Linked DNA regions of Danio rerio. The protein of the gene in region 1 binds, or shares a complex with, the protein of each later gene. Links are inferred from orthologs where the notes say so. Each region holds a gene or a part of one and is shown in the gene's direction. Other genes may lie near its edges. The genes, in order: tmem17, cc2d2a, tctn1, tmem216, tmem107l and ahi1.

Evidence for each region.
Region 2: tmem17 (region 1) and cc2d2a share a complex: the UniProt entries of both Homo sapiens proteins name them as parts of the tectonic-like complex. The link is inferred for Danio rerio from reciprocal best matches to the Homo sapiens genes TMEM17 and CC2D2A.
Region 3: tmem17 (region 1) and tctn1 share a complex: the UniProt entries of both Homo sapiens proteins name them as parts of the tectonic-like complex. The link is inferred for Danio rerio from reciprocal best matches to the Homo sapiens genes TMEM17 and TCTN1.
Region 4: tmem17 (region 1) and tmem216 share a complex: the UniProt entries of both Homo sapiens proteins name them as parts of the tectonic-like complex. The link is inferred for Danio rerio from reciprocal best matches to the Homo sapiens genes TMEM17 and TMEM216.
Region 5: tmem17 (region 1) and tmem107l share a complex: the UniProt entries of both Homo sapiens proteins name them as parts of the tectonic-like complex. The link is inferred for Danio rerio from reciprocal best matches to the Homo sapiens genes TMEM17 and TMEM107.
Region 6: tmem17 (region 1) and ahi1 share a complex: the UniProt entries of both Homo sapiens proteins name them as parts of the tectonic-like complex. The link is inferred for Danio rerio from reciprocal best matches to the Homo sapiens genes TMEM17 and AHI1.

The regions. Positions count from the first base shown.
Region 1 is NC_133200.1:30,968,231-30,972,182, forward strand, and holds the start of tmem17 (transmembrane protein 17B), read left to right. Parts: upstream 1-1,152; 5' UTR 1,153-1,228; coding exon 1,229-1,343; intron 1,344-1,973; coding exon 1,974-2,077; intron 2,078-2,187; coding exon 2,188-2,301; intron 2,302-2,376; coding exon 2,377-2,520; intron 2,521-3,952. Other genes in the region: PKc_like domain-containing protein, read right to left, coding at 1,081-1,127. UniProt on the Homo sapiens protein: Transmembrane component of the tectonic-like complex, a complex localized at the transition zone of primary cilia and acting as a barrier that prevents diffusion of transmembrane proteins between the cilia and plasma membranes.
Region 2 is NC_133198.1:2,297,536-2,301,577, forward strand, and holds the start of cc2d2a (coiled-coil and C2 domain-containing protein 2A), read left to right. Parts: upstream 1-1,242; 5' UTR 1,243-1,298; exon of another isoform or gene 1,299-1,555; 5' UTR 1,556-1,644; coding exon 1,645-1,658; intron 1,659-1,773; coding exon 1,774-1,849; intron 1,850-4,042. UniProt on the Homo sapiens protein: Component of the tectonic-like complex, a complex localized at the transition zone of primary cilia and acting as a barrier that prevents diffusion of transmembrane proteins between the cilia and plasma membranes.
Region 3 is NC_133185.1:8,987,231-8,991,218, reverse strand, and holds the start of tctn1 (tectonic-1), read left to right. Parts: upstream 1-1,188; 5' UTR 1,189-1,219; coding exon 1,220-1,550; intron 1,551-3,988. UniProt on the Homo sapiens protein: Component of the tectonic-like complex, a complex localized at the transition zone of primary cilia and acting as a barrier that prevents diffusion of transmembrane proteins between the cilia and plasma membranes.
Region 4 is NC_133189.1:29,306,907-29,309,302, reverse strand, and holds the end of tmem216 (transmembrane protein 216), read left to right. Parts: intron 1-936; coding exon 937-1,138; intron 1,139-1,696; coding exon 1,697-1,712; 3' UTR 1,713-1,896; downstream 1,897-2,396. UniProt on the Homo sapiens protein: Part of the tectonic-like complex which is required for tissue-specific ciliogenesis and may regulate ciliary membrane composition.
Region 5 is NC_133198.1:31,419,244-31,423,267, reverse strand, and holds the start of tmem107l (transmembrane protein 107 like), read left to right. Parts: upstream 1-1,224; 5' UTR 1,225-1,381; intron 1,382-1,504; 5' UTR 1,505-1,510; coding exon 1,511-1,597; intron 1,598-1,689; coding exon 1,690-1,757; intron 1,758-2,380; coding exon 2,381-2,481; intron 2,482-4,024. UniProt on the Homo sapiens protein: Plays a role in cilia formation and embryonic patterning. Requires for normal Sonic hedgehog (Shh) signaling in the neural tube and acts in combination with GLI2 and GLI3 to pattern ventral and intermediate neuronal cell types.
Region 6 is NC_133192.1:9,398,218-9,401,717, reverse strand, and holds part of ahi1 (jouberin), read left to right. Parts: coding exon 1-112; intron 113-1,418; coding exon 1,419-1,571; intron 1,572-1,656; coding exon 1,657-1,789; intron 1,790-3,500. UniProt on the Homo sapiens protein: Involved in vesicle trafficking and required for ciliogenesis, formation of primary non-motile cilium, and recruitment of RAB8A to the basal body of primary cilium.

The DNA.
Region 1 (3,952 bases):
TATAATATTAAATTAAACGTGTAATATTTATTTTTCCATTGAAGATGAGGCAGAAGCAGGTTCAAAAAATGAGGGAGACCACCGAGCATGAGCTAAATCACACAGGTACAGGTAAGACTGTTAATCTGGAAGGGATATGCTAGAGTGTCATACAAAGATAGATGGACATTTAAATAATTTAAATATTGTAAATGCTTTGTTATTCATTCTAAGATGAAACTCCCTCCGAGTCAACTCAGCAAAGTAAAGGTGATGGAGACAGAAAATGTTCAGATTGTCCATCCAACAGTAAATAGTTTCTGTTATTATCCGCAATGTGTAAATGTGAATCACATACATGTAAGATGAGCTTATCAAGATCTTTCAGGACAAAAAAAGTTTTGTTTTTAAAGGTACAGGTAAATATAAAAATGTAAAATGGTAAATAGTTCTGAAATTATTACAGAGTGTACTGTTTTTTCTTTTAATTGTACTTTTACAACAACTAGAAAATTTGTATAAGCAAGAACCCACCCACTTAGTGCCCCTGCCCCTCAAAATGTCTGTGCACGGCCCTGAATTGGTGGTTCATTCTGCTGTGGTGACCCCGGATTAATAAAGGGACTAAACCGAAAAGAAAATGAATGAATGAACCTTGGGTTGCAAAAAAAATATATCTTTTCATATTGTTTCTCAAAAGTGAAGAACCCAAAAAGAACCTTCTTTAAAATAAAGCTCTAAATTCTAATAGAAACCCTGGATCTCAAGACTGAATAAACTGAACATTGAGTAGTGGGCAGGGTTTTATTTTAGTTCTCATACTTGACGTCATCAGAGAAGGACCCCCACACCAGAGCAGAATCAAATAGGAGGTTTTTGATTAAAGATTACCTACAATAAAAATGATCAGCGACTTTACTTAATTGTTCACCTTAACACTACCAATGTCCTCTAGCAAAATAAACATTGTACATTTTTTTACTTCATGCTGACTTAAAGTGATAGTTTAAGCCAGGAATATTAATATTATTCTTTATACACATTGCAGGATAAAACTCAGCATAATGTATCTTATTTCGCCATCATACAAAGCAAGCAAACCTGTTAAGTGCAGCTGAGCAGTGTGTGTGAGTGAGAGTGAAAAACATCCCCCGGTGGTCACAGCTGGACCATCACAACCGCTCAAGAAGATCCGCCTTCGTTGCTACCATAGACTGGTTGCTACGGACACACGTCTGCTTCTCCCAACATGGACCTGCCTGAACCCATCAGGCGACGGCTTGGAGATTTCTCCAGAACCGTGTTTGTGGACCAAAGCCGTACACAACCCTCTTTCGAAGAGCACGCAAATTTTCTAGACCAAAGTAAGTGTGTTTGAGCTTCCATTTGATCTGCTACGTGAACGTTAGCTGTAGGGCTAATTCATCTGGTTAGCCGAGTTGTACGATTTCATGTAGCTTTTGCTAGTAAACATATTTTTTTCTGACGTCATATGCAGATATAATAATGCTTTATGGTAGCATTAATCTTAAAAGGAAGTTGATAACATTTGGCGTTATTCCTGTCTGGGACCTACGAAACTACGTTGCGTTACCAAAAAGCATAATAAATGGTTCGTTTGAATCGGATCTTCTTAATGGACCTTTTCATAAAACGTGATTAGTCAAAAAAACTACTTAAAGTAAGGCAACTAGATGATTTAATAGGTTGACGGAATCGAAATATTTTGGATATCTTTAACCAAGTTTAGTTAGGTAAAACAGCCAAGTGAACAAAGTTACTCATTTAAAACGAACTGTTCAAAAGAACCGATTCGCCAAATGTTATTTTACTCCATCCTATACAGGCTCCGAACACTGATTTATGTATTATTATTATACATATTATATATCTGTGGTTCCGAATCAGGTTATTTAGGATGCCCAAGATTAGTAAAAATGAACTTTATTCAAAGCTAATTTGTCATTTTAATTTTATGCACTATTATTTCTCAGATAAGGATGTAGTATCGAGTCTCCCTCTTCAGATGTCACTCTACTTTAACATGTGGTTCTTTCCTTTCTGGTGGATCAGTGAGGTTGTGATGCTTGACCTAAAGGTGATTCTCGTCTTTGTCATTTTTAACATTTCAATATGATCTTATGGCTGTTTAATCATATTACTGTTGTTAGATATTACAGCTAATAATCATTGTGCTTTTTCTTCTAGTACTCAGCCCTTGCAGATTATTACAAGTTCATCCTGATCACAATTCTCATTGTAATGACCCTGATTGAGGCTATTAGGCTGTATTTGGGCAATGCTGGAAATCTGCAAGAAAAGGTCAATCTTAATTTAATGTAATATCATGTAATATCCTATAATTGGTCCCATTATGCATCTGTTGTTTTTCAGTAGGTTCCAGAATTGGCTGGATTTTGGCTTCTGACTTTTCTACTTCAGTTTCCTCTGATTTTGTTCCAGCTCTTCAATGAGGCTGTTCTTGTTCAACCACTAGAGAGAGGAGTTCATATAATACTGGCCTTATTTATCTTTGCTGAGGTATCTATCTGTCTATCTTACAACTATTTTAAGTGACTATGTAGAATTTTTAACTCCTCATTGTTCAGAATTTGAAGGGATTTCAGTTGTGTACCAACAGAACAGTGTTTTATAAAACACTCAAGACACTTTGACAAAAAGCCATTATTTTGTGCAAAACACAGTGATTAGAGTTTAAGAACAGCAATGATATTGGTTGTAACATAAAGATTACAACTTTAATTTCCAAAGCCTACAACTGCTTTTGTCTCGATTGATTTTACTACATCTTCAGTACAGATTTTCACTCAGGAGGGAAGCACGAAAGCCATATTTTTATGCAGATTTGAATGAAACACTCCACTTCAGGAGGAACAGGCTCAACTTATAAGAGTTAAACAGAAAAGATTTGCCATTTTTTAATCCTTTTAGATGATCACTGGGTCTGGTGAAAACCCTTTTAGCTTCGCATAAATCATTAAATTAGATTAGACCATTAGCATCTTGCTCCAAAAATACAAATAATAACTGGAGATAATTTTTCTATTTAGAGCTTGACACTTTTCTAGTCACATTGTATACTAATGCTGTTCACACCAGACGTGGAAGGAGCGTCAAGCGCAAGTGATATGTTGATATGGCTAAGAACTATACTCTCATTTTGGTGTAATAATCAAGGGACTAGCTGCCATACCAAGGCTGCAGCAGGGACAATGTTAATATGTAGCACTGTTATCTAGATGGGAAATATTTTTTAGAATAAGAGTATAGTTCCTAGTACATAATGTAACTATAGAAGAGTGTGCGTGTATGTATGTATGTATGTATATATATATATATATATATATATATATATATATATATATATATATATATATGTGTATATATATATATATATATATATATATATATATATATATATATATATATATATATTTATATATAAATATAAATTATCTTGTGTAACTTATATAACTTTAAGTTTTTGTGCAAGAGGCTAATGGTCTAATCTGATTCAATGATTTATGCTAAGCTAAGCTAAAAGTGCTCACACCAGACCTGAAGATCAACAGAATTGAATAAAAAATGCTAAAACTCAACTGTTTAAACTTATTTTTTTTTAAATGTTGAGCGTTTCATTTAAGGCTATGATCTTAAACTTTTTTGATGAGGATGATCTGTTTAAATTTAATTTTGAATACATTGCCTGGTCTTTCTTTTTTGTCACTTCTCCGATTTCTTCTTTTAGCATTTAGACGCAGTACTTACAACCTGGGGTGCTTTTCCGAAAACAATTGTTAGCAAACCAAGGTCACAAGTTCCATCGTTACAAAGATAGTTTGTTGATTTGGCGGTTCCCAAATCCGTCGTTCCATTGAACATTCGCAAACTGCATCACAAACTTGTAAGCTTACAACTAAACCTCTAGGGCTGTAGTTAGATGCATTGCTCC
Region 2 (4,042 bases), on another chromosome or scaffold:
GTATAATGGAGTGTTTTTGGAGTTGAGAAAAAATACATGAAAGCCAAAGCTCAGAAGGCAGAAAACACCCTTTTCTGAATTATGATTAAAACCATCTGAAGAGGATCAAATAACACACATCACAGAACATGGAAATATATACTCACCACATCAGGTCATTTTGCAATCTTTAGAAAAAAATAAAAATAAGATAAATAAATAAAAACTCAACAGCTTTACTGCAGATCTCCGTTGTTTTTCTGCTCAGTGTTTCTAAAAATACAGCAAATGTTTTTTTGTCCAATTTGTTTGTAACAACCAATGACTTCATGTTTTATAGTTCTTATGAGGGTTTTAGTAGGCTATGTGAGTAAAAGAGTATGACACAGTATTTTAAGTATATTCTATCTTTGTAATTTTTTATGGATAAAAAAAGATGCAAAATTGTTTCTTTTTCTTGAACACAAAATGCACACATATATGAAAGATTAAGCTTCATTCTTTCCAAAACATGTTTAGCAGGATAAATTCTATGGAGAATTTGCCCGCGTCTCATGCTTTTTTTTTTTTTTTTTTTTTTTTTTTAATATACGAAAATGAGAATATACAATCACAGGATGTTAACAAGAAATTGAAGAGACAAAAAGAACAACATTTTTGGAAAAAGAAATAACTACAGATAACAAAAAAATAAACAAACAAACAAAAAAAAAAAAACAGGAGGGGTAAATACATTACACGTTAAAGAAAAATATTATATAATTTACAAATTTCAGTTATTTTTAAAGCCTTTTTTGAGAAAGAGTTAGACACTGTTTCAAAGTAATACTGCATTTCAGTAAGCAAAATATTAAAAAAAGGTTTTTGGTTTGAAAATTTACATTTATGGATATAAAATTTTGTTAACAAGACAAGAAGATTAAGAAAATATGTTTTCTTTTTATGTAAAGCCCCCGTTCCATAATCAACAAAACCAAACAAAACATTCTCCCACAGCAAGGAAAATTCCTCATCAACATTCTCAATTATAAAAAGTAAGAAGTCTTTCCAAAGCAACCTAGAGTAATTGCATTGCCAAAATAAGTGAACCAGGGACTCAGGGTGCTGCCCACAAAATGAACAATTAATATTAATATTTTTTTATATTCATGCAGGATTGAGCTCGAGCTGCCGCGTGACGTATCCAGATTTGGGTGATTGACGGGCCTGTGGGCCAATGAGAACAAACGCTGACGTGAAAGGGATGATCCGGACGCAAACCGTATGTTCGGTTGTAGATTATTTACACCCGTTACCAGGCAGCGAGACGGCGCACGACGGTAAAGCTAAATACAGATTTATTACATTTACTAACTATTTCAGTGGAATAATTCTATAATCTGGAAAGTTTCTCTTTTGTCTTTTGAGCAGAATAATGTTTATTTCCTGCCTCGAGCGACTACAGTCTGCTGTTAATAAGAGATTTCGGCTAACGTTACTTTATAAAAGGCTGTTGCTAACTTTAACTTTACTCAACTAATGCTATGCAGTTTATCCCTCCATTATGAATGTTTTATTAACGAACCGTGTCATCCAGGAGCTGCTGTGAGGTCCACACTGAAGATCTGAGATGTATTGGGAAGATTTCTGACGTCAGTAACGTTTAATGCATAACGTTAGAGCACAATGTCATCGCCAGGGTAACTGTTAACATTAATCTGTTTTTATTTTTTACTATACGTTAACTTGAGTATAAGCTTAGAGCAATTCTGTTTTACGGCTGTTTCTAAGTTTAAGTTGTCCTGTTGTCCTCAGTGATGTACGAGAGAAAATAAAGAAGAAGAGGAGAGAACTGCAGGAGTCTTTAGGAAAAGTCAGGGATGATAAACAGGTAACAACAGAGTGCGGTATTTCTATGTTAAATATACTTACACTCACCGGCCACTTCATTAGGTACACCTTACTAGTATCGGGTTGGACCCCTGTTGCCTTCAGAACTGCTTTAATCCTTCGTGGCAGAGATTCAACAAATATTCGTGGCACTGCAAATATTCCTCAGAGATTTTGCTCCATGTTGACATGATAGCATCACGCAGTTGCTGCAGATTTGTCGGCTGCACATCCATGATGCCAATCTGCCGTTCCACCACATCCCAAAGGTGCTCTATTGGATTGAGTTCTGGTGACTGTGGAGGCCATTTGAGTAAAGTGAACTCATTGTCATGTTCAAGACACCAGTCTGAGATGATTCACGCTTTATGACATGGTGTGTTATCCAGAAGATGGAGACACTGTGCTCATAAAGGGATGGACATGTTCAGCAACTATACTCAGGTCGGCTGTGGCGTTGACATGATGCTCAATTGGTACTAATGGGCCCAAAGTGTGCCAAGAAAATCTCCTCCACACCATTACACCACCACTACCAGCCTGAACTGTTGATACAAGGCAGGATGGATCCATGCTTTCATGTTGTTGATGCCAAATTCTGACCGGACCATCCAAAATAGAGGTAAAGATGGTTTTATATTCAGACATTCTCCTTAATAATATAATTTCAAAAAAGTATTCTTTGCAAATTCTGAATAGGGAAATCATATTGGCAGCCAATGACTTTCAAAGTACAACATTGTTCACAGTGAATTAGATAGTGTTAATGTTGTTTAGAAGTATACTTGCATGCTACTTCCGATTGAATATTCAAAGAAACATGGTAAACAATATAGAGACTGTTTAATTAATGAATGTGAGAATATAAAACCAACTTTATCTCTATGCATCCAAATGTGTCAGCAGAAATGGAGACTCATCAGAGCAGGCAACGTTTCTCCAATCTTCTATTGTCCAGTTTGGTGAGTCTGTGTGAATTGTAGCCTCAGTTTCCTGTTCTTAGCTGACAGGAGCGGCACCCGGTGTGGTCTTCTGCTGCTGTAGCCCATCCGCCTCAAGGTTGGACATTTTGTGTGTTCAGAGATGCTCTTCTGCAGAGCTCGGTTGTAATGAGTGCTTATTTGAGTTACTGCTGCCTTTCTATCAGCTGGAACCAGTCTGGCCATTCTCCTCTGACCTCTGGCATCAACAAGGCATTTGCGCCCACAGAACTGCCGCTCACTGGATATTTCCTCTTTGTCGGACCGTTTTCTGTAAACCCTAGAGATGGTTGTGCGTGAAAATCCCAGTATATGAGCAGTTTCTGAAATACTCAGATCAGACCATCTGGCACCAAAACCATGCCTCGTTCAGTCACTTTAATCCCCTTTCTTCCTCATTCTGATGCTCACTTTGAACTGCAGCAGATCGTCTTGACCATGTCTACGTGCCTAAATGCATTGAGTTGCTGCCTTGTGATTGGCTAATTAGAAATTTGCATTAACGAGCAGTTGGACAGGTGTACCTAATAAAGTGTCCGGTGAGTCTATAATGCACAGTTATTGACAATAACGTTTAGGTGTCAAGTTGTAAAGTTGAAGTAAACACTTTTAAACTATAATAAACCAGACAAATGGGTTGAACCTAACTTAGTGGTTCTAAAGGATAGTGGCAAAGTATAGTTAAAGGTTTAAGTTTGGGGTCGAACTGTATTCTTATATAGTTATTTAATATGCCATAAAGTGAGTCATTTTCTGAACATGCCTGACAAGATTTCATGCAGTGTAAATTGTTGTTACTCTCAATGACTAGTGCTGTCTTCTGTATGTCATAGTTAAAATGTACTAATGTCATTGTTTCAGTAGAAAAAGTAAATAAAAAAAACTATTTTGAAGGTACAGTTAACACAAAAAAATGACATTTTCTCTTCCTTTACTTGTTTGAAACCTGTATAAGTTTCTTCTGTTGATATACTGAAGAATCAACAGCCATTAACCTCTATTGTATATGTTTTATTTCTACTATGGATGTCATTGGCTGCTATTCCCCCATCATTCTTTTGAATATCTTCTTTTGTGTACAACAGAAGAAAGAAACTCATAAAAGTTTGTAATGTCTTGACTGTGTGTAAAGGAAGAGGAAATGTTCATTTTCGGGTGAACTGTTCCTTTAAATGGACATAGTGTAATCTTTAAAACGTGCATTTCCCCTCTTG
Region 3 (3,988 bases), on another chromosome or scaffold:
TATGCAAAAGAAATATACATTTTTAGTAATCTGGGAAAAGCACATTCGATTAACTGTATGCTGTTACAAAATCGGCAAGTTTAAGTTTAAGTGATATACAATATAAAGTGGGTCTCAGAGTGTACAAGCAGCACTGCATTAAATTACATTTTCCCCGTCATGTCTTTAAAATATGGACGTTTATTTTACCCCAGTAAATTCAATGTAGTTTCTCCACTACCCTGCTGATCCTGACAGTTCATGCATATAAAAGTGCTTTTTGTCTTGTTTTACAGTTGAAAAATGAAATAAACGATGAAGTCTATTTAACTGGTTATATTTTAATTACAACATCAATGCTGTAAAAAAAAAAAAGTATAATATTGAAAAAAAAAATCACAATAACCGTTTACCAGAAGTGAATCATTATGGTAAGAAACACTAGTTCTGCATGTTTCCCATTAGCACTTCTTGTGTGTATAGCCTCTTGTTGTTGAATCACCGAACACCGCCTCAATAGTAAGTTGCTTTGATCTAGAGCATCTGTAAATGTAAATTAAATTTTTAACAAATCTTGATTTATTGACTTTTTGAACTTAAAATGTTGGTATTGTAAAGTTAGTATAAACATGTCTGAAAATAGACTTGTTCTAAATGAAAAATATTTTTTCATTATTATTATTTAAAATAAAAATGCTTTTTAGCCATTTTTTTCGTGTGTGTGTTTGTTCGTTTGTTTTATATATATAATATATTTTCTTATGTCAGCTATTCGCAAGAACATATAATTGAGTTTTGGGTAGTTTGACTCAAAAATAAAATGCTAAATAAAGTAATATTTGTTTAAAGCATAATTATAATAAAAACAACCAAAAAGCCCTGACAACATTCGCTAAATTATAATGTAAAAATAAAATATGAAAATAAATGCAAACTATTAATGAAAACCAAAATAAATCACTGATTGGAGATTTGTGCATTTATTGTTATACATATTTAATATTTTAATTATTATTTAAAAATATATTAGTAATTCATTTATGCAATTACTGGATGTTTTTTTATATAGCAGTCTTTTGTGTAGCAGTTTTATAATAATAATAATAATAATAATAATAATAATTATTATTATTATTATTATTAAAACATATTTGCCACAATAAAAATGGTTGAATGTCCTGCACCTTCCCACAATGCATTTCACTTCCTGGATACCGCTGAAAGCGCGCTGTAACCAAGCATGGCGGTGTTCTGTTATCTTGTTATTCTGATATATTTACAAACCTCGCTCTACACCGAAGACACGAACACAACACAAAATATAAATATAACACTCGAAGACTTAAACCACACGTCAAATTATCGAGATGAAATGCTTAACATCACGGAGCTGGGAGTCAGTCCTACTGCAGCAGATTTACCCGCTCCGACTGACAGGACTCCCGAATACGTGACCGGATTACCGGATCTTAACGAGTCCACGAAGAGCCCGATCCCTGATTCCCCGCGAGCCACCGCAGCGCCAGCGCCTATTCCCGTGTCCGGTGTCCCGCCGGTCACCGTCACTGAAGGTAAGAGTGCGGAAAAACTGATCCGAGTTGTCAAAACACTGAATGTCAATATCAATAGGGTAAACAACAGCATAGTAATAACATAAGAATTGCAACAATTATTTTTATTACAAGTTTAAATACGCAAATGAGGCATTAGATGTCAGCCCTGATTGATTCTGTATTCAGTCTGTTTACTGTATAGGTAGGTAGGTTACTTTATTTATACCCAAAGGTAGATTTGATTTGCAGTCAAGAGTCCTCATCTCACAGCAGTGCCACACAAAGCAACTCACACAGCAACAACAACAAATGCACATTAAAACATAAAACATAAACATAAAGAATAAATAAATAATCACTTTAAGTGCCCCCCCCCCCCCCCCTCCCCCAAGTAAATATTTAAAATGATCTAAAATATACAGGTCACTGAAACATCTCTGCTTAAGTCTTATTTAAATGTCTAATGGCTGCTGGTATGAAACTATTTTTGTAACGTTTCCTTTTACAGCTTAATACTACAAACCTACAACCGGAGGGAAGGAGCTGAAACTCTGAATGTAGGGGATGAAATAGAGGTAAAGTTGGTTTTATATTTGCACATTCGTTCATTTAAAAGTCCTTACATTGTTTACCATGTTACTTTCAATATTCGACCGGAATTAGCATGCAAGTGTGGCTTGAAAACAACATTTACACTGTTTATTTGACTGTGAACAATGTTGTACTTTGATAGTCACTGGCTGCTAATATGAGTTTGCTATTTAGAGTTTGCAAATAATAATTTTATGAAATTATATTATTAAGGGGAAAGTCTGAATGTGCGAATATAAAACCAACTTTACCTCTATGGGGATGAGCAGTGTCATTTAAAATTGAATTTGTAATTCTCTTTAGCTGCCTAGTGTACACAGCTTCTAGATTGGCTAGTGACACCCCGGTCAGCTTACTGGACCACTTAAATATCTGATTTAGTGAGTTTTTATTCTTGACAGAAAGATTCCCAAACCATGACACCAAAGCAAAGGATAAAACGGATTCAAGAAAAGCGTGATAAAATAGAGTCATCATCTGTTTATCAATATGGAAATAATTTAACTTTCTCAAGCAAAATAGTTGCTGGTGCCCCTTTTTACACACTGCTGCACAATTCTTATCAAAGGAAAGTTTAGAGTCAATAATTGTGCCAAGGTATTTATATGATTGCACACTTTCCACAGTCTGATTTTTAATGGAAGTGCTCACCTGTGAGTGAGCAGCCTTCCTAAAATTCACGATCAAATCTTTTGTCTTTAAAACATTTAACTGAAGATATGACTCCTCACACCATCTGACAAAGTCAGTGAGTACCGGACCATGACCTGTATCATCATCATGGAGTTGACTGACAATGACAGTGTCCTCTGCATACTTGACAGGGCTCAACAATAAGGACTGCCCGGTGGCCCAGGGCCAGCGTGAGAGACACTTGGGACAGTAGACAGGATCATTACTGGCCCGATTGGGACAGTGCTGCCTTGTCACTAACATTTCATTTGTCTACGACTATTTGTCAATTGCGTGCATTTAAGTTTGTGCTTTTAAGTCTTTAAACACTACCTTCTCTGTGATGTCGTAAACACCATATTGCTTTCCGGTTCCTCTTATCTGATTAGATGTTTTGAGCATGCAATTTTTTTCAATAACCAGGGGCCTCATGTACGAAGACTTGCGTGGAAATCATACTAAAACATAGCGTACGCACAAAGCTGTAAATGTGCGTACGCAGAAAAAAATTCAGGGGCCTCATGTATCAACGCTGCGTACGCACAAAAACATTGCGTACGCAAGGTTTCACGCTCAGAATCGCTCACGTTTGGATTTACTAACAATGAACTGAACGTGGGAATGTGCGCAGGTTCACGGCAGCTTTTTGGCAGGCGTACGCACATTTTTTGTGCGTGTCTGTTTTATTTCCATTGGCGACTCCTAGAGGCAGTTGTGTTAAATTCTTCTCTACAAAGTGTCTGATCCTTGCAATGGCAGCTGTATGAGACGGGTTCATCTAGTAGGTATGTAAGATTTCCATACCATACAGTTGACCAGCTAAACATTAAAGCACAATTTGCAGCAGTCGCCTGTTTTCCCAATGTAATCTGCGCGATCTACTGCACGCACATTGCTATAAAGACACTATCTGAAGATGAATTTGCAAGCGTGAATCAGAAACATTTCCATTCAATAAATGTGCAAATAAAATATGATGCACAAACTTATTAATGATTCCTACTAGTCTTTCTCGTGATAAATAGTAGGCAAAATATGATATGTAGCGGGGGGGAAAAAAGAAGATAGAGTTCATCAGACGCTGGATTCGAGCCGAGTTCATGCTCGAACGTGTCAAAACATGATCACATGCGTCTTACGAGCGCGCCACTGAGACTGTTCAGAGTGCTGCAACAGTTTACAGATATAAACCA
Region 4 (2,396 bases), on another chromosome or scaffold:
TTTTTAAAGTTCTGTTTAGCACATGCAGTTTTTTAAATTCATTATAAATATCCATTATGTTCAAATAATCCATTAGCAAACCAAATATGTGTGTATATGTGTTCGTATAAGTTCTAAATCCAAAAAGTTAAGGTAACTCAAACTGTTTGAGGAAACCGATTGCAACAAACCATTTAAGTTAAAAGAAAATCCTAATGAGTACTGTGAACATAATCCATTTTAGTAAATGAAGCAATTTGAGCACAGTAAAACCCATTAAATGAAGAGAACTCAAACCAACTGACTACTGTTAAACCCAATAAGTTAAGGCAACTTAAACCATTTGAGGAAACCGATTACAAAAAAACTAGTAATCTATATGAGTACTGTGAACCTACTCCATTTAAGTTGAAGTAATAAGGTATTTTAATAACTCATTACCTTCAACACTGAGATCAAAACTCTTTTCAAGTCAGTAGAATTAAATTAGCTATACTCATTTCATTTGATAAAGTTGATTGTTGGGTTTTACAGTGTAGAATTAAGCACTCATTTATAACACTCTGTATTTGAATTACAATTTTATATCCTGTCTAATGTTTAATATCACTTGAAATACAATTTTTAAATCTTAGACTGAACTGGATTTTAATACGCATTCTCTGTTCAGCTCTTAATAGAGTTTAACCCTGCTGTGTTCACAAGTGCATGATTGTAGAAAAAGAATTATAATAGATTTCCCAGAGATGGGTTGCGGCTGGAAGGGTATCCGCTGTGTAAAAACTTTCTGGATAAGTTGGCGGTTCATTCCGCTTGGACTAAGCCGGCAAGAAAATGAATGAATGAATGAATTATAATAGAGATAACTGCCCTCTTTGTTGTGTACTGTTGTAATTGATGAAAGTGCATTGCCCCATGTTGCAAATGTAGTGATAGTGTGTAAAATCTGTCTTTCAGGCTGGAAGGGGAACCTGTGTCAGCGTTCTTTGGCTCTGTTTGTGAGTGTTGCTATTCTGGTGCCATGTGCAGTGTTGAGTGTTTACTACCTGCTGCTTCAGACCTTCGTTTTACGCCTTGAGTTTGTCCTCAATGCTGTGCTCCTCTGCTTTTATGGCTTCGAGCTGGTTCTGGGAGTGATGACAATCTCAATTTTTTCCAGGTAGCTGTTGTTTTTTTGTGCATATTTATTCCATAGTTTCAGCATTAGGAGACACACACATTATAATGATATCTATGGAATGAATATACCGAGAGTCGGCAGTATTTTTTTAATGTTTTAAAATAAGCTTATCCTGATCACCAAGGCTGCGCTTATTTAATCAAAAATACAAAAGTAAATATAGCAAAGTAATATAGCAATTCCAGTACATTCCAGTATTTTTTGGGGGGGCCCCATGAGGAAAATGGCTCATAAATTACTTGGAATTAAGTATTTAGAAAATGTTAAATGGATATAGTTTCCTGGGAGAGTTGGGATTTGCGTGCGTGCGTGCGTGCGTGCGTGCATGCGTGCGTGCGTGTGTGTGTGTATGTGTGTGTGTTTGTGTGTTTGTGTGTGTGTGTGTGTGTGTGTGTGTGTGTGTGTGTGTGTGTGTGTGTGTGTGTGTGTGAGAGAGAGAAAACTTATTTAGAAACTTAATAGAACATATTTGTGGATATTCAGTAACCGACTTGCTGTGTAAAATAAACAATATTAAAATGCAGATTTTTCTTTCAGGGCCAACATCTATTAAATCCATCTTCTGAAAACATGAACACTCAATAACAAGGATAAGCAGCAGCCTTTCGAATAGAGAACTGTCAAGAATTACAATTAAACATAAAGCTGACAAGTACCTTTATTATGTAGATATTGTATACAGTGTAAATGTATTTATGTAAATAGAAATATAGCCATTATTAAATAGTAAATTGAAACAGATTTGTCATTCATTTGTTACACCACACAAACACACACACACACAATCAAAAATTTGGGATACAATTATTGAATGTTTTTAAAGGAGACTCATATTAACAAAGGCTACTTTAGTTAATCAGAAGTACTGTAGTACTTATTATTAATAGTAATTAATATTATTAACATTTTAAAACATCTGTTTATATAATTACTTTCAAGAAGATCTCTTTGTCATTGTTGAGCAACAATTGTACTCATTATATATTTTTTGGAAACAGTGACATTATTTTGGTTTTAAAAAGCCATTAATCTGAATATTGGGAAAAGATACAGTATACCATGCACAGAATCTTAAAGCTTTGACCCAAGCTTGGCATACATCCGAATTTATTTGAAGAAGAAATCCCTTTTGTTGGAGACTTAGCTTTGTACCTTTGCAAAGCTTACATGAATATACATAACAAGCTACAACAAAATTAAAGCATTACATAGCCGCCATATGGCCTAAAATGGCTCA
Region 5 (4,024 bases), on another chromosome or scaffold:
AAAAAAAAAGTCTTCCTAAAACTGTCTATTCTCAATTTCTTAACTCTAAGGTTAATATTTTACTGCCTTCCAGAACAGCAAATGCCCTTGATAGCAAACCACTGAGTTAGTATTTATTTATTATTTACTAGACCAACGACGTCTGGCTGTAGGCTACAGTAAAAACTAATGATTCATTTATTTGTTGATTTGTGAATGCTGAAAACCTGCAACCATTGACATCCATATAGGAAAAACAAATGCTATGGAAGTTACAGGTTTCCAACTTTCTTTAAAGTATTGCCTTTATCGCTTAACAGAAGAAAGAAACTCACAAAGATTTACAACCACTTGAATAAACAGCAAACACGTTTTTATATTTGGGTGAGCTATCCTTTTAACTTATAGGGCTCTTATTACACACGTTTTATGCACTTACTATAATACCAATAAATTATGCATAATCACATGCAAAAACCCATAACCATAGTAAGTACTCCATATCGTTAATTAATGCCACTCAGTACTTTATGCTATAGATACACTGTAAAAATGAGACCGTAAAACAAAAAACAACTTAGTTTGTTTAAATGCATTTCATTTCGAGATTAGCACTGTCGCTTCACAGCAAGAAGGTTGCTGGTTCGAGTCCCGGCTGACATTTCTGCAGATGCTTTTTTCCCTGTGTTTGCTTGGGTTTCCTCCGGGTACTCCGGTTTCCCCCACAGTCCAAGGACATGTGCTATAGGTGAATTGAATAAACTAAATTGGCCATAGTATATGAGTTTGAATGAGTGTGTATGGATTTTCCCAGTGCTGGGTTGCAGCTGGAAGGGCATCCGCTGTGTAAAACATATGCTGGATAAGTTGGCAGTTCATTCCGCTGTGTCGACCACTGATAAATAAAGAGACTAAGCTGAAGGAAAATGAATGACTGAATAAAAGGCTTGTTTAAGACACCTCGAACACCTTGATAGTGCTCCCTATTGACCACAATAATGAAGTCTTTGAAATAAATTTTTTCCAATTGTCTTACTACTTGTCTGCGCTGCCATGTTCCAGTTCACCATTTTCAAGTTATTTCACCTTTAGTACCTGCTCTCAGCCGAAGGAAAATGAATGAATGAACATTTTGAGACATTGTAAAACCAAGTTGAGGACCAGTCAGAAAGCGACTCCTTCCAGCAGGTGACAGCATTGAGCTACTTGTTGGTCTGTTTTGACCATAACCCATTCGCCAAATAGAAGAAGAGTGTTGTCGTAGCAACCCGAAGCTTATATCGAGCGATAACTGTCCTCAAGCTTGATAAACTTATACGCATAGTAGCCTTATATACAGTGCTATATCTACTTTACTGCTCACCATTTGAAAAATCAGGTTTTAACAACTAACGCAAAGCTGGTACGTATACCATTTTGATATACAACCTCACGTTTTGTGAAGATGAACACGTTAAACCTTTAACTGTTAGTCATCCACTTGCACAGTTCAATCTAAGTTATTATGTCTTTCTTCTCTGTCTAGTGTTCAATGTCGGTGGTCAGCAGTCTGGTGCCTGCCCGTTTCCTCACTCTCATCGCGCACCTTGTAATAGTGATAATCATTTTCTGGTCTCGGGTAAGAAGTGTTCTTGTGTGTGTAATTGTTATTTTTATATCACACAACATCACTGCAGCCAGCTGTGTGTTTAAATGTGGAATGACCTACAGGAGTACAGTGTCCGAGCCTGTCTACCACTCGACTACACTAATGAAGAGTACACAGCAGAGGACACACGGTTGGGAAACACACTTTCTCTGTTCTGTATTGCTTCACAGTGGCTAAATGATAATATAATTATTTCGGTCATGTAGTGAGACTGAATAGTATTTTTTGATTCAACTTTATTGTCATTATACATGTACAAGGCAACAAAATGCAGTTGGGGTATACCTAGGAATGCGATAGCATCAAGTGCATGATATATGCACAGTGCTCAGCAAATGAGTACACCCCTTTGAAACAAAACAGATTTATTAAACAGATATATTTATTCAAATAATATTTTAGTCATCAAACATATTTAGAAATTGAAAGATATTACAATTACATTCAAGCAAAATAATCCAAAAAAGAAAAGAAATTACAACCTGCAAGATTTCAACTAAAATAGTCTTTTTTTTTTTCATTCCGCAATACAGAATGTATTTTAATTGTTAATTAAATGTACCTTTTAATTTATGAAACAAAATACTTTAAAATCTTTTGATGGCTTTTCTTGTTTGACCCATTTACAGCATATTATTGTTTGACTGATAGTAAATTGTACATTATTTATATGTAGATGTGAATAATGTTATGGAGTCAGATATAGTAAGTCCTGTTCATGACGCTGTCCTAACCATTGTTTTTGGAATACAGGCTTGTGGTGGCATTATCCGTGACTCTTGGCCTGTTAGCCATCGAGTTGGTTGGGTTTCTCTGTGGAATCTCTATGTTCAACAACAACCAAGCTCTTCTGTGTATCCTTACCAGTAGCACATCACCACTATAGGTTATATATATACTGTAGGTGTTGATGCATATAAATTGTGTATTATTTTCTTATATTTTCATGGATCGGAGTCAAATCTTCAACTTATGATTAACGCAAACAGCTCCCATATGTGTGTCTAGTACTAGTTTCTTACACATCTCATCCAAAGTCTTCTGTTTTGTTCAGATTTTTGACAGTAAATTACCTGAAGTCATGGGTCGTAAAAAATTATATGGAGCTGTAATGTGGTCAAGACCTACCTGGTATATAAAGTCAATCTAGGGCCATATATACAGTTGAAGTCAGAATTATTAGCCCTTTTGAATTATTACCCCCCTGTTTATTTTTTCCCCAATTTCTTTTAACGGAAAGTAGATTTTTTTCAACACATTTCTGAACATAATAGTTTTAATAACTTATTTCTAATAACTGATTTATTTTAGCTTTGCCATAATGACAGTAAATAATATTTGACTAGATATTTTTTAAGACACTTCTATACAGCTTAAAGTGACATTTAAAGGCTTAACTAGGTTAACTGGTTTAACTAGGCAGGATAGGGTAATTAGGCAAGTTATTGTATAACCATGGTTTGTTCTGTAGACTATCGAAACAATATATAGCTTAAAGAGCAATAATTTTGACCTTAAAATGGTGTTTAAAAAAAAAAATGCTTTTATCCTAACCGAAATAAAACAAATAAGACTTTCTCCAGAAGAAAAAACCCTTTTGGAAAAATAATAATTCAAAGGGGGGCTAATAATTCGGACTTCAACTGTACGTGCAAAATAAAATAAAACTTTGCAAACAACAAATAAAGTATTGAGCAAAAAATAAATAAATGTAAATGAAAAAAATAAAAAATACATTTTGCTAACAAAAATAAAGAACTGCAAAGGGGAAAATTGAGAAATAAAAATGAAATTTAAACAAAAAAGGAACTGCAAATAAACATCAAGCAGTAAAAAAACAAAACAAAAAGATTTGCAATAATCAAAAAAAAACTATATATATTTGCAAAACATTTTTATAGCATTGCTTTTACAAAACCTGCCCGGTCAGTTGCAATTGTCATTTTAATTAGATTTTAGTCAACTGTGAGTTTGTGATGCTGTTTTCACTTTGTACTTCACGTTTCTGCGCCTTTCACTTTGTGGCCCTGATTTGACAAGGGGACTGAGTCAAGGGAACTTAGAGGTTTACCTAAGGCCTGCCGTAAACGCCCAAGTTCCCTTGACTCCACCCCTTTGTCAAATCAAAATGAGCATTGCAGTTGACTGGATGGGTTAGGTCAAGGCTAAAAATGTTTTGCAAATATTTATATATTTTTTTTTTCAGTTCTTTTTTTGTTTGCAAATGTAATTTTTATTTTTCAAAAATAAATTTTCCTTTGAATTTTTAAATTTTTGTTAGCAAAAACTATTTTTATTTCTGAAAAACAAGTTTTTGCTTGGGCGAGGCAGTGGCGCAGTAGGTAGTGCTGTCGCCTCACAGCAAGAAGGTCGCTGGGTCGCTGGTTCGAACCTCGG
Region 6 (3,500 bases), on another chromosome or scaffold:
GAAGAAAGTACCACAAACGGTGGAAGTCTTTCAATGGTGGTCAAAGTACCCAAGGAACAAATACACCTCAACTCTCTATGTCACCGTGAAAGGCCTGAAACCACCAGAACATGTAGGTATACATTGTTGTGCTGGATCATCTACTAAATATTAGTATTCAGAATCCATAAGTTAATGCCTAGTCATTTAGCTTCTTTTAAATTTTTGTTGCCATAGAAACATTCTGACAGTTAGAATTAGTTATTTGCCTCATTTAAAAAGAATACCCTACAAGAAGACACTTAAGCAGGTAGCACACCAGAAGCGCCGCTTGGCGCCACGACAGGGTGGCACATGACAGATTAAAGTATCGCACACCAGACGCGCACATTCAAATGATATTTAACATGAAACTAATCAGATGGCGCTCTGTGGTGCGGCTGAAAAATGAACTGCGTCCTGAGTCGTGGGCGGGCGCCGCCGACAGCTGCCGACTTGCGGCGCCGGTGTGTGTATCCTGATAGAAATCTATGTTTAGAATTCTAAAATGCATGGCGCTGCACGGCGCGCCGCCGAGCGGTGCTTCTGGTGTGCGACCTGCGACCTTGCGGGAGTATCCCTCAAATGCATAGACACTCCCAGATGCCCGCAAATGAATAATAATCTCCCGGAAATCGCACGTCTCCTGCCCGGTCTTTAAATACGTTGCACACCCCTCACTCCACTGCATCCCTCCTAGCTCTTCAGGTACGTCATGCGCAACTCACCCCCACCGCTCTTCAGGTACGTCGCATGCAACTCACCCCCACCACTCTTCAAGTATGTCGCGTTGCAACTCTCTATTCGGGTACGTCGCGCGCGCAACTCTCACCGCTCTTCAGGTACATCTCGCGCGCACAAGCCCCCCTACTCAGATACTTTGCTCACTCACTACCTCCCCCCAAATTAACTCTGTACCCCCGTGAATGGACTTTTTCTAACTAGGGATGTCTGACAAAACATTAAGTATGTTTACAAGGACACCAATACTTTTGTTTTAATACGATGAAGGCAATACTCTGATTAAGAGTCTACCATGTAAACAGAGATTTTTGATAACCTTAATCCGACTGAAGTCATAATTGTAGTAAACACAAATCGAATTAAGTCATGTGCAGTATTCCTCTATTTCAGTCGCATTATTTACAGACGTGTAAACATCTTAATCAAAGTACTACCACCATGTAGGACTTTTAGCTGCATTTTAGGCCAGGATACGCCATAAGCGCATGGCTGTTTGATGTAGATGATGATCTAGTAGATCTTACAGGATCTACAAAGTAAATATGCAAAAAAAACAAAACTGTAGTATATATTAGTAGAACATTAGCAAAGAAAGGACTAGACTATTTAAAAATAGTTGCTCAGTGAAGTTGAATCTGATCTGGTTTGTTTCAAAGGTTGACCCCGGTATCCGCTCCATGATGGCTCTGCAGCAGGAGCGCGGCAGCACCTCCTACAGTGAGCTCAATTCTGAGATGACCAATAAAACCAGCACTCAGATACAGGAGAGCAAAGCAGAAACCATGAAGTGGAGCCGTATGCCCGGACAGGTTTTAGTTATTTGCTTTATCAGTGTAAATCGGGGTCAGTTATCTTTTTAATTGGCCTAATAATTTTTGACATTGTTTGTTTAAGGTGTGCCGGATCCCAAATAAGCCAATGCACTCTTTCCGTGGAGGTCAGATGGGCTGTTTTACTCTCTGTTTCTCACATGATGGACGTGCGCTAGCAGCTGCGTGTGCAGATAGAGATGCTTTTCCTATCATAAGTGAGTATAATGTGACTACATGTTGTCTTTTCTCTGTCTTGCATTTTTTAATACTTTATACTTAAATGTTTGTCATAATAACATTTAATATCTGATTAGTTAAAGGGATAGTTCACCCAAAAATTTCAGAGATGCTCTTCTGGAGACATCAGTTGTAACGAGTCTATCAGATCGTCTATCAGATCGGTCTGGCCATTCTCCTCTGGCGTCAACAAAGCATTTACACCCACAGAACTGCTGCTCACTGGATATTTTCTCTTTTTTGGACCATTTTCTGTAAACCCTAGCGATGGTTATGCGTTAAAATCCCAGTAGATCAGCAGTTTCTGATAGTAATGTGACGTTGTGCACCGAGGCTTTGAAGCATGTATCAAAAAAACGATGCATCTTGCAGTGTACTGGAGCTTGATTCGTTTTGCCATCATCACGTGATCAGTGACGTCCGAAGCTTCATTTTCGCCTATACCCACGTGACTGCTTCGAATTTTGATTCAAAGGTTTAAACACCCTAATGTGTTAGTAAAGTGTATAGCGAGAGATTTGGAGTTGATTACATACATTTCTACAGTTTTAAAGTACTGTACCGGTCCCACACACCAGTAATTAAACTATAATACAATAGTAATTTATAGTAAAAAATGTTTTGAACCACACTGAAGTGTATTAGCGTATTGTTTACAATGTTCTTTAAAGGGTCACGAAACACCAAAACACATTTTTTGAGCTGTTGACAGTCGTATATGTGTACCACACTGCTAAAAACACTATTAAGACACCTATATTTCACTAAAAAGTGTAAATTGGTTGTTTTTGCGTTATTTCAAGCAAATTCGTACTTCCTGTTTGAAACGAATTTTTGAAGCTGCGTCACGGTCATGACATAATAGCGTGTATTCCAGCGTGCAGACTGGGCGTCTGTGCCAGAGTGAGTCTTATTACGTCTTACAGTGTGATGCATTAATGCATGAGTAAGGCTTGGTTCAAACCAATCAGCGCGCTCTATTGTGCAACTTCATTAATATTCATTACTGTCACAGTGTAGACGGCAAAGACGCCACGTTGTGTTGGCAAAACAAGCGTGAAGTGTTGCTTTTATAGTTTGCTGCAGTTAAGTTTCGTTTTCATTTTCTCTCTGTGAGAGCGCAGACTCACATGTGGATTAACAGTGTACGCGACGCGCGACAACAACTTACGTGTCTAAGGAGGATTATTATTTACCTGAGAGCTGTTCTCATCTGCAAACGCTGAGATTGTAGTCTTCTCTAAATAAAGACGCGGCTCTAGTTGCTGGTGATTGTCCTGTCTCTACAGATTTGGTAAGTGAGCGACCAGTGCTCTTTGTTTATTCAGTTCGTATTTTATTCGTATCAAACAAACTATTGCACCGAGTGCAATAGTTAGCACTAACAGTTACAACCAAACTATAACCTCGTGTTGGATTTTGTGACCGGAATAACACACACGGCTTTCTGACACTACCTGCCGAGTGCATCTAAGTTTCCGGGAAATGCTGAGTTTTTTTTTCTCTCATTCGCCGTGCAGTATCAAACATTGCATGAAAAATACACGCTTAGAGCTGTTCCTCGAATCAAATATCTCGTTTGTCGGGAGGGACATTAATGAATTCCCTGAATGAAAGAGCCAAACTGCAGTTAAAGTCCACCATTTAATAATTTGGCAAATAATTCGACTACAGATGTCCATGTAAACA